Coturnix japonica: one gene and its partners. The main gene of each other region encodes a partner of the protein of the gene in region 2 in a complex. Links are inferred from orthologs where the notes say so. Each region holds a gene or a part of one and is shown on either strand. Other genes may lie near its edges.

Region 1 (3,445 bases), on a different chromosome or scaffold from region 2:
TTTAGCTACAGCGATCTCAATCCCACCACCCAATGGTTAAAATCTACCTGCACATTTAAATAAATCTGCATGCCTGAAAACAGCTGAATTATCCAAGTTATAATTTGCATAACGAGAGTTACAAGTAGTTATAGTAAGTTCCCTCATCCACAAAGTTGATTGTTTCTTTTCTTTCTCTCTTTTTTTTAAAGGTGCTACATCTAGTTTGGAAAGCAGACATGCTACAGACAGGAGGGCTTGAGTAACGAAGCCACTTATCCATTATCAAATCACTCTTTGTGCCATGGGCTTGATCCAAGTCCAGTTCTCTTTAAACACAACTGATGTAGCTTCCATTTGACAGACTTCAGGCACAGACAAGTTACACCACATTACATGTGTAATAAAGCAATTCTTAAGTTCTTTAACATTGTTACATTACTACAAAAAGTTAGAAAGGAATGGATTTCTCAGGCTTCATATTGATTTCATCTTCAATCTAGAATAACTGAAAAGACCCATTTAACGTGTAAACAACTAACATTTATTTGAAATGCAGGAATTGTCAGCTTCCATTTCAGTCAGCCAAACCCCCTGCTTCCAGCAGCACACGGCATTTACAAAATGAAGCACATCCCAGAAAGCTGCAAGTGACAAAACAACGTTATACAAAAAACCTAACAGCATCCACGCTGCACAAAGCAGAGTTATGTTTTGACCAATACACATATAACTCACACAAAATATTAAATATCCTCACCTGCTTAGCAGCTCACACCCACCCCCCAAGTCAGTGTGAACGCTTCAAACAAAATACAGCATGTACCCTCAGAATCCATTTGGCCTCTCTCTATTGTAAGTTAACATAAGACACGATTCCTTCATGTCATTTCATCAATAATGCTGCACATAGCTGCATCTTTGTCTAACACCTGATCTCTCTTGCAGCCAGAACGTTCTCTCTGTTTTTCACTCTGTCCAATGCAGTTGTTGCCGTCATCAGTGTCCATTGGTTCTGTTTTCACTCCCAGTCCCCCCTCTGAATGAGGAAGATCATCAGGCAAGGACGCCAGGCAGTTCTGAATCATCTCCACAACTCGCTCTAAATGCTTCTGAAATCGCTCTGCAGTTTCCAGACGCTGACGTTTCTGCACTTCCATCATGACTCGCAGGGTCTCCCTAGCTTGGTGAGGACGGTACTCGTTTATAAGATGATGGACGTGAACAAAAAGCAGTTTCAGGTCCTCCAGTTTCTCTTCTCGCTTTATACTCCCCGGACTCCTTATCAAGATATCCAAGAGATCCAAAAAGTTGACTAAGATAGACATGTTCAGTTTCCTCAATTCCTTTTTGTGATCAAACTGCATGGGATGCAGCCGCTCAATACCCTGGCTTTCCAAAGGTCGGATAATTAAATCGTCACACTGGAACTGATTACCAAACATCATGTAACTGTCTTTCACAGGTGGAGGTGGCTTTGGGGCCAGACCTTTGCGTATGTTTTCATCGGTGTATTCCTTTATATACTGCATTGGAGGCGGAGGGAGGGCACTCACTTGCTGAGGTTCACCCATCTTTGGGGATTAAAATACCTAGTGGATAGAAAAGAAACGTGCATTACATAACTTATGCGACAACTCCACAGCACGCATGAAGCTAAGAAAACAAACCAGACAGGAGATTCTTCAGCACGCAAATAGCAGGAAACTCCCCAATAAATCCACGTCAGCTTTGCACTGACATACACAGCACATTAAGCACTTCTCAAACCAGACCTGCCAACGAGGAGGCACAGAAGGAAGGAGAGGCCTGATCCGCTAAGCCCGCATCCCAGGGCTGGGAGCGGCAGACAACGGCAGGCAGGGAGAGGCAGCCCTTAAAGCAGCACCCCCCTCCCCCCCGGCCCATCACTACAGCACGGCTCCGGGAGGGCCCAAAGCCGCAATGCTGAACAGAAACAAAGGCTGGGCCGGTCCTACACACAAGGCCCAAAGAAAACACCCCACTCACCTGCACACCGCGCTGAAAACACCACCGCCACCACCGACACCAACACCTCACATCCGGCAACTGCTCTCCTTCCTCCTCCCCTCCATTGGCTCGCAGCTCAAATGGCGTCGTAGACTTTGGTTGGATGCCCGCAATGCCAGTCAGGAGCTCGTTCCACTCACAGCCTGGGCTATGGCGCCCTATTGCGGCTGCCAGGGGCACGGCAGGGATCTCAGCGGGGGTCCCAGCAGGGTCCTCTAATGGCAGAGATCCTCGAATGGCAGAGATGGGAGCGGCCGGCCCGACTCTTGTCGGCATCAGACTCCCTGTGAGACCAACTTCTGCATGAATTGGTGTTTAGTATTTGGTATTCCAGGACTGCTTTCATAGACTCGTAGAACTGCCCTCGTTCAGACGCTTCCTGGACTCTGGTGAGCTCAGTGCCCAGACCGTGGGGAGCCGCCGGTGTGATGGCAATGCTTTAACTGCTGAATGATGCAGGGAATATATGTAGAGCTTCCATGCAACAGAAATTTGGGTGTTATTCCATCACAAAGTGAAAGCATCACCCTGGGAAGTGTTAGCATCCTTTCTATAGCTGAACACATGCAGCCTGGATGCATAAAGTCTGCAACAAACCGATGGAACTTCTTGCTTTTCTTCCATTTCTTTGTTTAAGACAGATTTTAAGGAAAAAAACAACTATCTGTGTCTTCCATATTGCCGTGGGACCTCGGGCTGGCTGGCAGCGCTTCTGCAGATGGCCACTGGTCTGGCAATGCGGCTTTTGTGCTCTGATTTCCTTTTTTCCTCAGCAGATGGCAGTAACCTCCTTCATAAGAAGGAATAAGGGTAAGAGAGCCGCTGTCTACGTGCCCTATCAAGGGCAGAGTTGTTTCTAAATATTACTTCAGTGCACTCTCACTACTTTGTAGGATTGGCAGGTGTTGGTTTGCAGAGCAAACTGTTGCAACTCCAAACCCCACAGACAAGGAGTTAAAAGCACCACTTCTAGAGAGGAATGAGAAAACCCACCTGGTGGGGGATATTAACAAGTCTTTGCTATTGTTAGACTTTCCAGACTTTGATTTCACATTCTCATACCACGAGCTGAGCTCGATTATCAGCTGCCTTGCACTCTGTGAACTGCTCAGTACAGCTCTCAGTGCTGTGACTTCAAAAGGTAGCAGGGAGCCAAGCATTTGTTTTTCACACGTCCTTTTGATCTTGAGTCATTTTCCTAGTTTGCACGTAGAGGCCAACAAATGCAAAAAGAAAAAGGGGTTTCATTTTCATTCTTGGTAGTATGACTGAGATGACTGAGAATGAAGGTGAGTACCACACACAGCATTCTCAATTTTGCTTTCTACTCCATTTCTGTGGTTTTCTCAAATAGGGACACTGTCCAAGACAAGTCCACCAGTGATAATACAGCTCAGTTACTACAGATCTGTTGGAATGAACCCAAACACCACTT
Region 2 (4,241 bases):
GCCCCCCGGCTGTCGGGCGCTCCGTCCATAAGGCCGCATTCACCCTCGGAGCTGCCTCGCGCTGCCAACGTGGGGGCTGGAGTGGGACGGGGCCGCTTCAACCGCAGCCGGCGGCGGATGGCGGCATTTCGGGCTCACGGAGCCGCGGCGCCGCGCTCCCCTCCCCCGCCCGCGCTCCTCCAGCCCCGCGGGTGACCCCGCCGCCGGGCGCACGCGCGCCGTGAGGCCGACTGCGCACGCGCGGCCGCCCCCCCTCCCGTCACGGAGCCCGCCGCGCACGCGCTCTGGGCGCCCGGCGGTGCGTGCGGAGGGACGTCAGGGGCGCGCCGTGCGTAACGGCGTCGGGCGTGTCCCATGGTGCCCTGCGCGGGGCTGGCTCCTGCCCACAGTTGAGTTCGGCCCCGAGCGGAGCAGTCGGGCCCGGCCCGGTCGCGCCGTCGCGGTTCTTCCGCGCCCCGCTCCGAGCGCCGCCGCCCCCCGCTCGGCGGGGAGCGAACATGCGACTCCGGCTCCCCGAGGAGGCCGCCGCCGCCGCCGGCGAGTGAGGAGCCGCCGCCCCGGCCCGGCCCGGCCCCGCCGCCCGCCCGCCCCGGCCGCAGCCGCCCCGCTTCGCCCAGGCAATGACAGCGGCTCCGGCCCCCTCCCCGCAGCAGATCAGGGACCGGCTGCTGCAGGCCATCGACCCGCAGAGCAACGTGAGTACGGCCCGCCGGGCCCGGGGCTCCCGACCGGCGGCGCGGGGACGCCGAGCTCCGGCCGCTCTCCGGCCCCGCCGCCGCCTCCCGCTGTGGGAACGAACGAACGCCGTGGGGCCGCGCGGCCGCCGCCGCCGCTTCTCCTCCTGCCGGGACCGCGGCGCGCCGCGCTCCTCCCCGGGCACCGGAAGCCTCCGCTGCGGGCGGTAGCGGCAGCTCCCGGCTCCGTGCTCGCCCACGGTCCCGTTCCCGGCGGCGCTTTTCCGCGCGCTCCCTCCGTGGAGCTCGGGGGTCTCTCCCCGTTTCCCCTCCGGCCGCGCTCTCCCTCCGCCCCGCGCCGTCTCCCGTCACTCCCGGCGCCGTCCGGCTGTGCCCGGCCATGCGGCGCGCGGCCCGGCGGCCTCCCCACGCCAGGCCGCGGCTCGGGTGCGGCCTGCAGGGGGCTCTGGGCCGGGCTGCGGACTCTCGCAGGGCGCCCACCTGTTCCGCGGCCCCTCCGCCGCCTCCCGCCGCAGACGCCGGGCCCGGGGCCGTCCCCGCGTTCTGGGGGCGCCCGGAGGGCTTCGAAGGTGGATCCGGGGCACTGGAGCGGCTCCGGCAGCGGGCAGCCTCGGTCTTCGCTTTTATCCTTCCCTGCAGAGCGCTAATGAGCTTATCTGCTCCTTCTGGGATGTAGAGTAAGCACGGGAGTCGACGTAGATTTTACCAGTAAGTGGTCTTCATGTGTAAGTCGTGGTAATCCAAAGTGTTATTTACTCCTTTTAAGGTTTTTTTTGGCATAGTAAAGCAGCTCTTCACATCCACGTTTACTACGGTGAGAGGACTGTGGGGTCTGCGGTCTGTCAGATTTATTCGATCTGAAATCCACATTTGCCATGGCAGTGCACAGAGCTGTGCTGCTCCCAGCTGTCTGTCGCAGGGCAGTCAGGGTGAGTCAGGCTGCAGCGTGCTGTGCTGTGCCAGGAGTGCACGAGATGGGCTCCGAGGTTCATTGGAGCTGTGCCTGCTTCTCTCTGAGCAAATCTCTCCCATAACAGACAGGTGTTGTGTTCTCCGAGTGGCTGATGAACTTACTGCTGTTTGGAAGCATCATGTAGCGCCATGCAAGTGATGTGAAAACTGAAAGATAAACCACTTTGTAATAGCCTGTTGTGATAAGCATTTGTCATGAGCTGCAGTATTACCAGCTTGAGTAACAGTAATGAATGATAAGGGTGATGGTGGGCTTTCAAGTCTCAGTTGTTGGAGTCTGTGGTCCTTTAACTTGGTAGATACGGAAACAATCTTTCCTGAGTTCTGTTTGCTCTGGGACTTGTGGCTGTGGGATTTTGGTTTTACCTTACACTCAGCATCAAGCTGGTTAAATACAGTTCTAATGGAGCAGTGGTTTCTTGTCACTTCAGACCTGCTGATGCTGGTTGCTCTGTTTCTGGGGTTACTTTCTAAAACGTTGTAGCTGTGTAGAGTTAAGAATTATGTTTTGTGATGAATGTGCTTCTTCCATGTGCGATGTCAGGTTGTGCTGTGGTGGTGGTATGGAGCAGGAGCTCTGCTGGGCAGGTCTGAGCATCAGGCAGCGCTCTGTGGGCCTGCAGCAGGTCAGTAGCCCCATAAGCTTAGAAGCAATGTATGTTAAATTATAATTCTACATACTTGATACTTATCCAGGGCAATAATTAGCGGTGGAAAAATCAGCCCATTGTTCAGAAATGCCTGTAGGCAGGGGGCTGTCTTCTATTTTAACCTCTTCTTCGAATGAGAACAGAAGTGGTGGAGTTGAGGTTCATCATACAGACTTGGACTTTTTTTTCCCAGCACATAGTAAGCAATAGATGGACAGGCAGAACTGCTGTGCTGTTTTAGTGAAAGGGAGAAAAATATGAGTTTTGAACGTTCTTAAAAGCAGATTGTGACTTAAATCTGACTTGATCTCCAATGTTGAAGTACAAGAGAGGCTGCTCTGTTGTCTCCCCACAGGAAGCAGTTGTGCAGCTCTGAGCTGCAGCACTTCTTGGTGCACAGGGAGAGTTGTGGCTCTTTTCTTCTGGCTTCTGGAGACTTTTCTTGAAAGAAGTGGTTGCATTCAAACTTAAAGCATTCATTATTGTGATTGACTTCCTTGTTTACTAAGAAAAAAGCTTTGAGGCCTGGATTTCTTTTGGACTTTTTGATGTGATTGTCGGTGCGGGTACGTGTGTGTCCCTGGAGAGGAGGGAGGGTGAAAACTGCACCAGATCTACCCAGCATGTGGCACAAGGATCAGTTTGGTGGGGCTGTGGAGGGGAGGTGGTTCTCATCACGCTTTGCTGTGGGGTGCTGTCAACTTCAGCTTTGCTGATATCTTCCCCAACACAACCCGCTTTCCCCTTGTGGATATTCAATCCAGTGGGACTGTGGAGGTCTTTGTGGTATGAGCAAATCTTGGATAAGTGTGAGGTCCTCTCAGAGAAGATCCTTCCTGTGGTGAGTTAAACAAGATGGCTCTTCCCCAGGTTGTTGGAACCCATGTGCTTTCAGAAGCTGTTCACTATTCTGATCATCTGTTTTAACCTCTGCTTGAAGCTCTGCTGACTTGGAGCGCTGCTTATATTGTACACACATTTAGCACTTGAGACCTCTTCTAGTATTTGCTGCAGAATGTTTTGATAACTTATTTTCACACACTTGGATCACTATTTATGTGATAAAGCTCTGTTTCAAAGGAGACCTGTAAGAAATAAGCTATTTAAAAAAAAAATTACATCATATTGGAAGCCACACGGGATGTCTGCTGTTACATCTCCATTTATTCAGCCTTTTCCCCTTGCAAAAACATATGGACAAACTACTTCTGCTCCATGACTTACACCCCATTTACCAGCATGGGGTCATTGGGAATGGACCCAGTCCTGTATTGGAGCAGGGAGTTGGGTGTTGTACCCCCAGCAGGGCAGTGTGATGTTCCTGCAGGGAAATCCTCCTCCTGGGAGGACTTTTTGGACAGCACAGCTGGGGAAGCGTCCGATGGGCTCTTGGAGCGGGCTTTTAGGGGAAAGGGCTCCCTGGTTCTGGTAGAAGCAGCACTTTTCTCTTTGGGCTCACTGTGCTGAGCAGAACCCCTCTGCTGGGTGAAGGCGCTCCAATGGGGCATCAGGAGTCTCATTGCCTGGTGGCAGGAATGGTGTGAGCTGTTCGCTTTTGCTCTGTGGGAAAGACTGTTAGAACTGTTCTCACAATTGCACAGGGTCCTCATCCCAAATATGTAGCAGCCTTTGTGTTTTGAATATTAGACAATAATTTAATTATTTACCATTAATAGCACTTGAAGGTGTGAGCCCAGCTCTGGTTTGAGGTCACCACCCCTCAGATGCTCACTGTATGGGTTGGGCTGCCTGCAGTCCAGGCTGCCGTGCACACTGAGCTCCATGGCTTTGCTGCTCGGCCTCTGGGAGATGTCTGCAGGCCAGAACATTAATGATGAATCCGTCTATGTGCTGTGCTATGTTACCTAGTGTTGGGTGATCTTCCAGTCTCATGGTTAGTGATGTTTCCACAGCTGTTTTCTGG
Region 3 (4,027 bases), on a different chromosome or scaffold from region 2:
CCTCTGCACTTGGCAGCTCCTCAGGCACCTTCAGCATCTGAGCTATAAACCCAGAAATGGAGCAATGCACGGTCTGGTGGGCCTGGGTTTTCAGGGATCAGTGTGGGGACAAACACTGAGTTGGAATGGATAGGATGATCCTCCAGATACTAAGAGCCACGTTTATTATGTTCTTAACAATATGCTCATTGTGGAAAGCTTCTCAGAATCACAGAATCACAGAATTATCAAGGTTGGAAAAGACCTAGAAGATCATCTAGTCCAACCATTACCAATGCTTCCCAGCTAAATCATATTCCTCAGCACCACATCCAAGCGTTTCTTGAACACTCCCATGGTTGGTGACTCCATTACATCCCTGGGCAGTGCATTCCAATGCCTGGCTACTCTTTCCGAAAAGTAATACTTCCTAATGTCCAGCCTGAATCTCCCCTGACGCAGCTTAAAACCATTCCCTCTAGTTCTATCACTGATTACACGAGAGAAGAGGCCAACCCCCAGCTCACTACACCCTCCATTCAGGAAGTTATAGAGAGCTATAAGGTCTCCCTCCTCTTCTCCTCCTCTTCTGTTACATTTCACTGAATGAAGCAGTTTCCTGATGAAGGGTGGTGGTGCAGCGATGTTCAGCTCAGGCTGCCACAGCTGGGAGAGGTGTTTGAAGGGGTAGATGGAGATGGAGTGTGCAGCATGAGGAGAACCCCTATGGCGTGCACACAGCCAAGTCACACTTAGTGTTTTGAACAAATAAGTCTTGTCGGACCACACAAAGACAGTCTTCACATGCCCATGGGTGCTGACAGCTGTTAGCAGCACAGGGGAGCAGCCAGGAGTTTGCTCACCTTGCTGAGTCCCCTGTGACTGCTGACAGATATTCCGCCAGCTCCTGGTGGACAAGTGAGGTTCTCCCATGGTGTCCAGGCATCTTTCCCCCTTGTGACTCACCCTCGGGCTTGCGGGAGGGATGAGGGATGCAGGCACACCTGCACACTGTCAGGGTGCAGGAAATAACCCTCTCAACACTTACCATACCCTGAAATCATCGCTCTTTTTGCCTCCACCGCCCCGCCCAAGCGCAGGCCCAGGCCCAACCCCACACCCCACGCCGTCCCGGTGCCGTCGGGCATGTTGGGTGTCTCCCAGCGCTGACCCGGCCGGGCGGAACCCGCGTGCGGGGGAACGCTCAGCAGCGCCGCGTGTTGCCGCCCGGCGGCGGCGGCGCGGGCACGGGGCGGCAGCGGCCGCCTCCTTCCTGGTGCCGGCGCGGGGGCGGCGGCGCGGCGGGGCCGGGGTAGCGCAGGGCCCGGGCGCCTCCCACGGCTCCTCATGGCCGGGAACTTCTGGCAGAGCTCGCACTAGTGGGTGCCGCGGTCGGGGGCCGGGTGGGGGTGCCGCGTTTCGGCCGCTCGTTGACCGGCTGTAGGGTGCGGGGACGTTGGGGGCCTGCGGGGCGGGCCGGGTGGAAGCCCGGAGCCGGGCTCGGCTATGGGCCCGGCCTGCGGCTGTGAGTGGCTCTGGATCGGGGTGGTGGAGGTGGCCTGGCTGGGTGGCGGTCGGTACGTGTGCATGTGTCCCGGGTGCAGCTGGAGACTGCGGGTGGGATATATTTATCTTCAGCTGTGGCACGTTGAGGGTTGGGCTGTGTCAGAATACTGCATTGGGAGTACGCTGGGCTTTGAATGGATGCCCGGGGTGGACTAAATATAGCATAAAGCTTTCAAGTAATCAGTAGTGCACAACTTCTCTCCAGTCGGTTTGATTCTCTGTAGCTAAAGGATGATGTGAGTCCCTGCTGGTGTTTTTGCAGATGTCTAACTTGTAAACCCCTAGAGAATATTTGCTTGAGCAGATTGCCCATGGCTTGGCTAAAAGTCACTGGGCCTTAGCCCACAGTGGTAGCCCGTTGGTGCAGGAGGACGTGTAACATTGATGAAGAGTTACTGAAGTTAGTTTCCTTTCCTTCAGTTTACAATGGATTTTGGATAAACAAGATCTACTGAAGGAACGCCAAAAAGACTTGAAATTTCTGACTGAAGAAGAATATTGGAAGCTACAGATATTTTTTACTAATGGTAAAATTGTTCTTCTTTTATTTGTGCCATATAATTGTATAGTATCTGCTGTGCCCGGATGTAAGTGGCTTAGAGGATGTGGTTTTCTTTACTGCATTGCATATACTTTTCACAATGTGTTTTAACAATGAGTTGGAATGCCTGCAGCATTTGTTGTTCAGTTAACTGTATTAGCTCAGGAGAAATTACATATAACCTGGCTGCATATGTAATGTGTTAACCCGTGGTAGGGCAAAACACAGAGCACTTCTGATTTTCAGGAGGTTCTATTAAAAAAGGCACAGAACAAGAGAAGCAAGGAGAAGCTACTAAACTAGCATATTAAAGGCTCACTGATGAACAGCAATAATCAAACTGTGATCTGTGAGCTTCTGGTGGGTTATGTGGTAAGTATTTTAGCCAGTGTGTGCAGTCCTGTTAAAAAGCAAAGCTTGGAATCTTGTTATTTGTGTTCAGTTACACTCTCAGAAACTTGCACAGTGGCCCATATCTTGGCCCATGTGGCTGATTCCCCGGCAGTGGCTGGCTCTCAGATTGCACAGTGTTGTCTGCAGCCTGTTCTAAGGAGTTTGGGGCTTGTTTGTGAAGTTATCTAAGACGTGATCCTGCAAAGCATTTAACCCTATGAATAGCTGCATTGGAGTTTATCAGGTTATACAGACTCTTAAAGTCTTTCCTAAGCAATTGCCTGACATTAAAGGGATATTTACATGCAGGCAGCTATTTGAACATTTTTCATAGTTGTACATAGGAAGTACAAGACACTTATCATTTCAGCTATCTAGTCAGGCATACTTTAGACAGAAAAGTTAAATGACTTTGCCAAAGCCACTGGAAGAGCTTACCTTTATACTGGATTGTAACTGTGAAAGGCACTTAGCCCAGCTTCCTTCTTAGGTTAATGGTTTCTGCAATAATTGAGTATGCTCCAAGTCTGATTTCTGTTGGTATGTTTTCATTATTGCTTTTTCAGCACCAGAAAGCCAAGCAAACAATGATTTATCAGTTTGATCAATTCCTTATGTTCCTTGAGGTTAAAACAGTTTCCTAGCTTCCTAATGCAAAAAGAACAAATAGGATATTTTATATATATATATATAAAATGTTTGTTATATAAAATATATAACAAACTGATATTTTAAAAACTGTATTTGTGTTAATTTTCATTGGCATTAATTATGGAGTGTGCCCTTTTTTATGTTCCACTTTTTTCCTGAGAAAACACTTAGAAACTATGTAGGTTGCTCTGAAAATGATACCTCCCCGCTATTTATTTCCACAGAAACTATGACAGATACAAAGAGCACAATAGCCCTATTGGATAGAACAAATTCTCAGCTACAAAACGTTGTTTTTCAACATTCATCACTATTAGCTATGCATTTTCATGATCATCTAGAGCCAGATCGTCACACTTGTGAAAATCTGCAGCAGAGATGACCCACTGTTTCACAGCTGCTATGATGGCATTGTTGCTAGGAAAATGTTGTCCATGCAGTCCATCTTTCATCAGATCAGACAGGTAGAAATGAAAAGCTGCGAAGTCCAGAGTATACAATGACTGTTGTAGGACAGTCCAGTCAAGATTGACAGTGTGCTCTACAAAACTGGTATAGGACCTAGAATTATCATGTTGCGAGAGAAAGATTCATTTCTTTGTCATGACTATGGAGCCTTCACCTTAGTTAGCATCACAACATAGCTGTCAGAGGTGGTGGTTTCTCCAGGTTCCAGGAGGTCCATGGGGATCACCCCTTCCCTATCCCAAAAGGCAGTGCACATCTCTTTACCCATTGGCGCTCTGTCTTGAACTTCGATGGGGAATTCATATGTCACTGTATGGGAACTGTTGAATCACAGCCTTAACCCCTTATGGAGCGCCTGGGGAAAGAACCGATTAGCCCTGGGAGCACAGGTGAAGGCAATTCATATGTGTGACTGGAAGGGGTGGAGCC

The links. The genes of interacting proteins can lie anywhere in the genome.
Region 1: MED26 (region 2) and MED7 share a complex: the UniProt entries of both Homo sapiens proteins name them as parts of the mediator complex. The link is inferred for Coturnix japonica from reciprocal best matches to the Homo sapiens genes MED26 and MED7.
Region 3: MED26 (region 2) and CCNC share a complex: the UniProt entries of both Homo sapiens proteins name them as parts of the mediator complex. The link is inferred for Coturnix japonica from reciprocal best matches to the Homo sapiens genes MED26 and CCNC.

The regions. Positions count from the first base shown.
Region 1 is NC_029528.1:6,561,722-6,565,166, forward strand, and holds MED7 (mediator of RNA polymerase II transcription subunit 7), read right to left. Parts: upstream 2,096-3,445; 5' UTR 1,990-2,095; intron 1,783-1,989; exon of another isoform or gene 1,755-1,782; intron 1,572-1,754; 5' UTR 1,554-1,571; coding exon 861-1,553; 3' UTR 501-860; downstream 1-500. UniProt on the Homo sapiens protein: Component of the Mediator complex, a coactivator involved in the regulated transcription of nearly all RNA polymerase II-dependent genes.
Region 2 is NC_029543.1:3,344,967-3,349,207, forward strand, and holds the start of MED26 (mediator of RNA polymerase II transcription subunit 26), read left to right. Parts: upstream 1-1,441; 5' UTR 1,442-2,170; coding exon 2,171-2,293; intron 2,294-4,241. UniProt on the Homo sapiens protein: Component of the Mediator complex, a coactivator involved in the regulated transcription of nearly all RNA polymerase II-dependent genes.
Region 3 is NC_029518.1:64,940,584-64,944,610, forward strand, and holds the start of CCNC (cyclin-C), read left to right. Parts: upstream 1-1,227; 5' UTR 1,228-1,326; coding exon 1,327-1,358; intron 1,359-1,965; coding exon 1,966-2,072; intron 2,073-4,027. UniProt on the Homo sapiens protein: Component of the Mediator complex, a coactivator involved in regulated gene transcription of nearly all RNA polymerase II-dependent genes.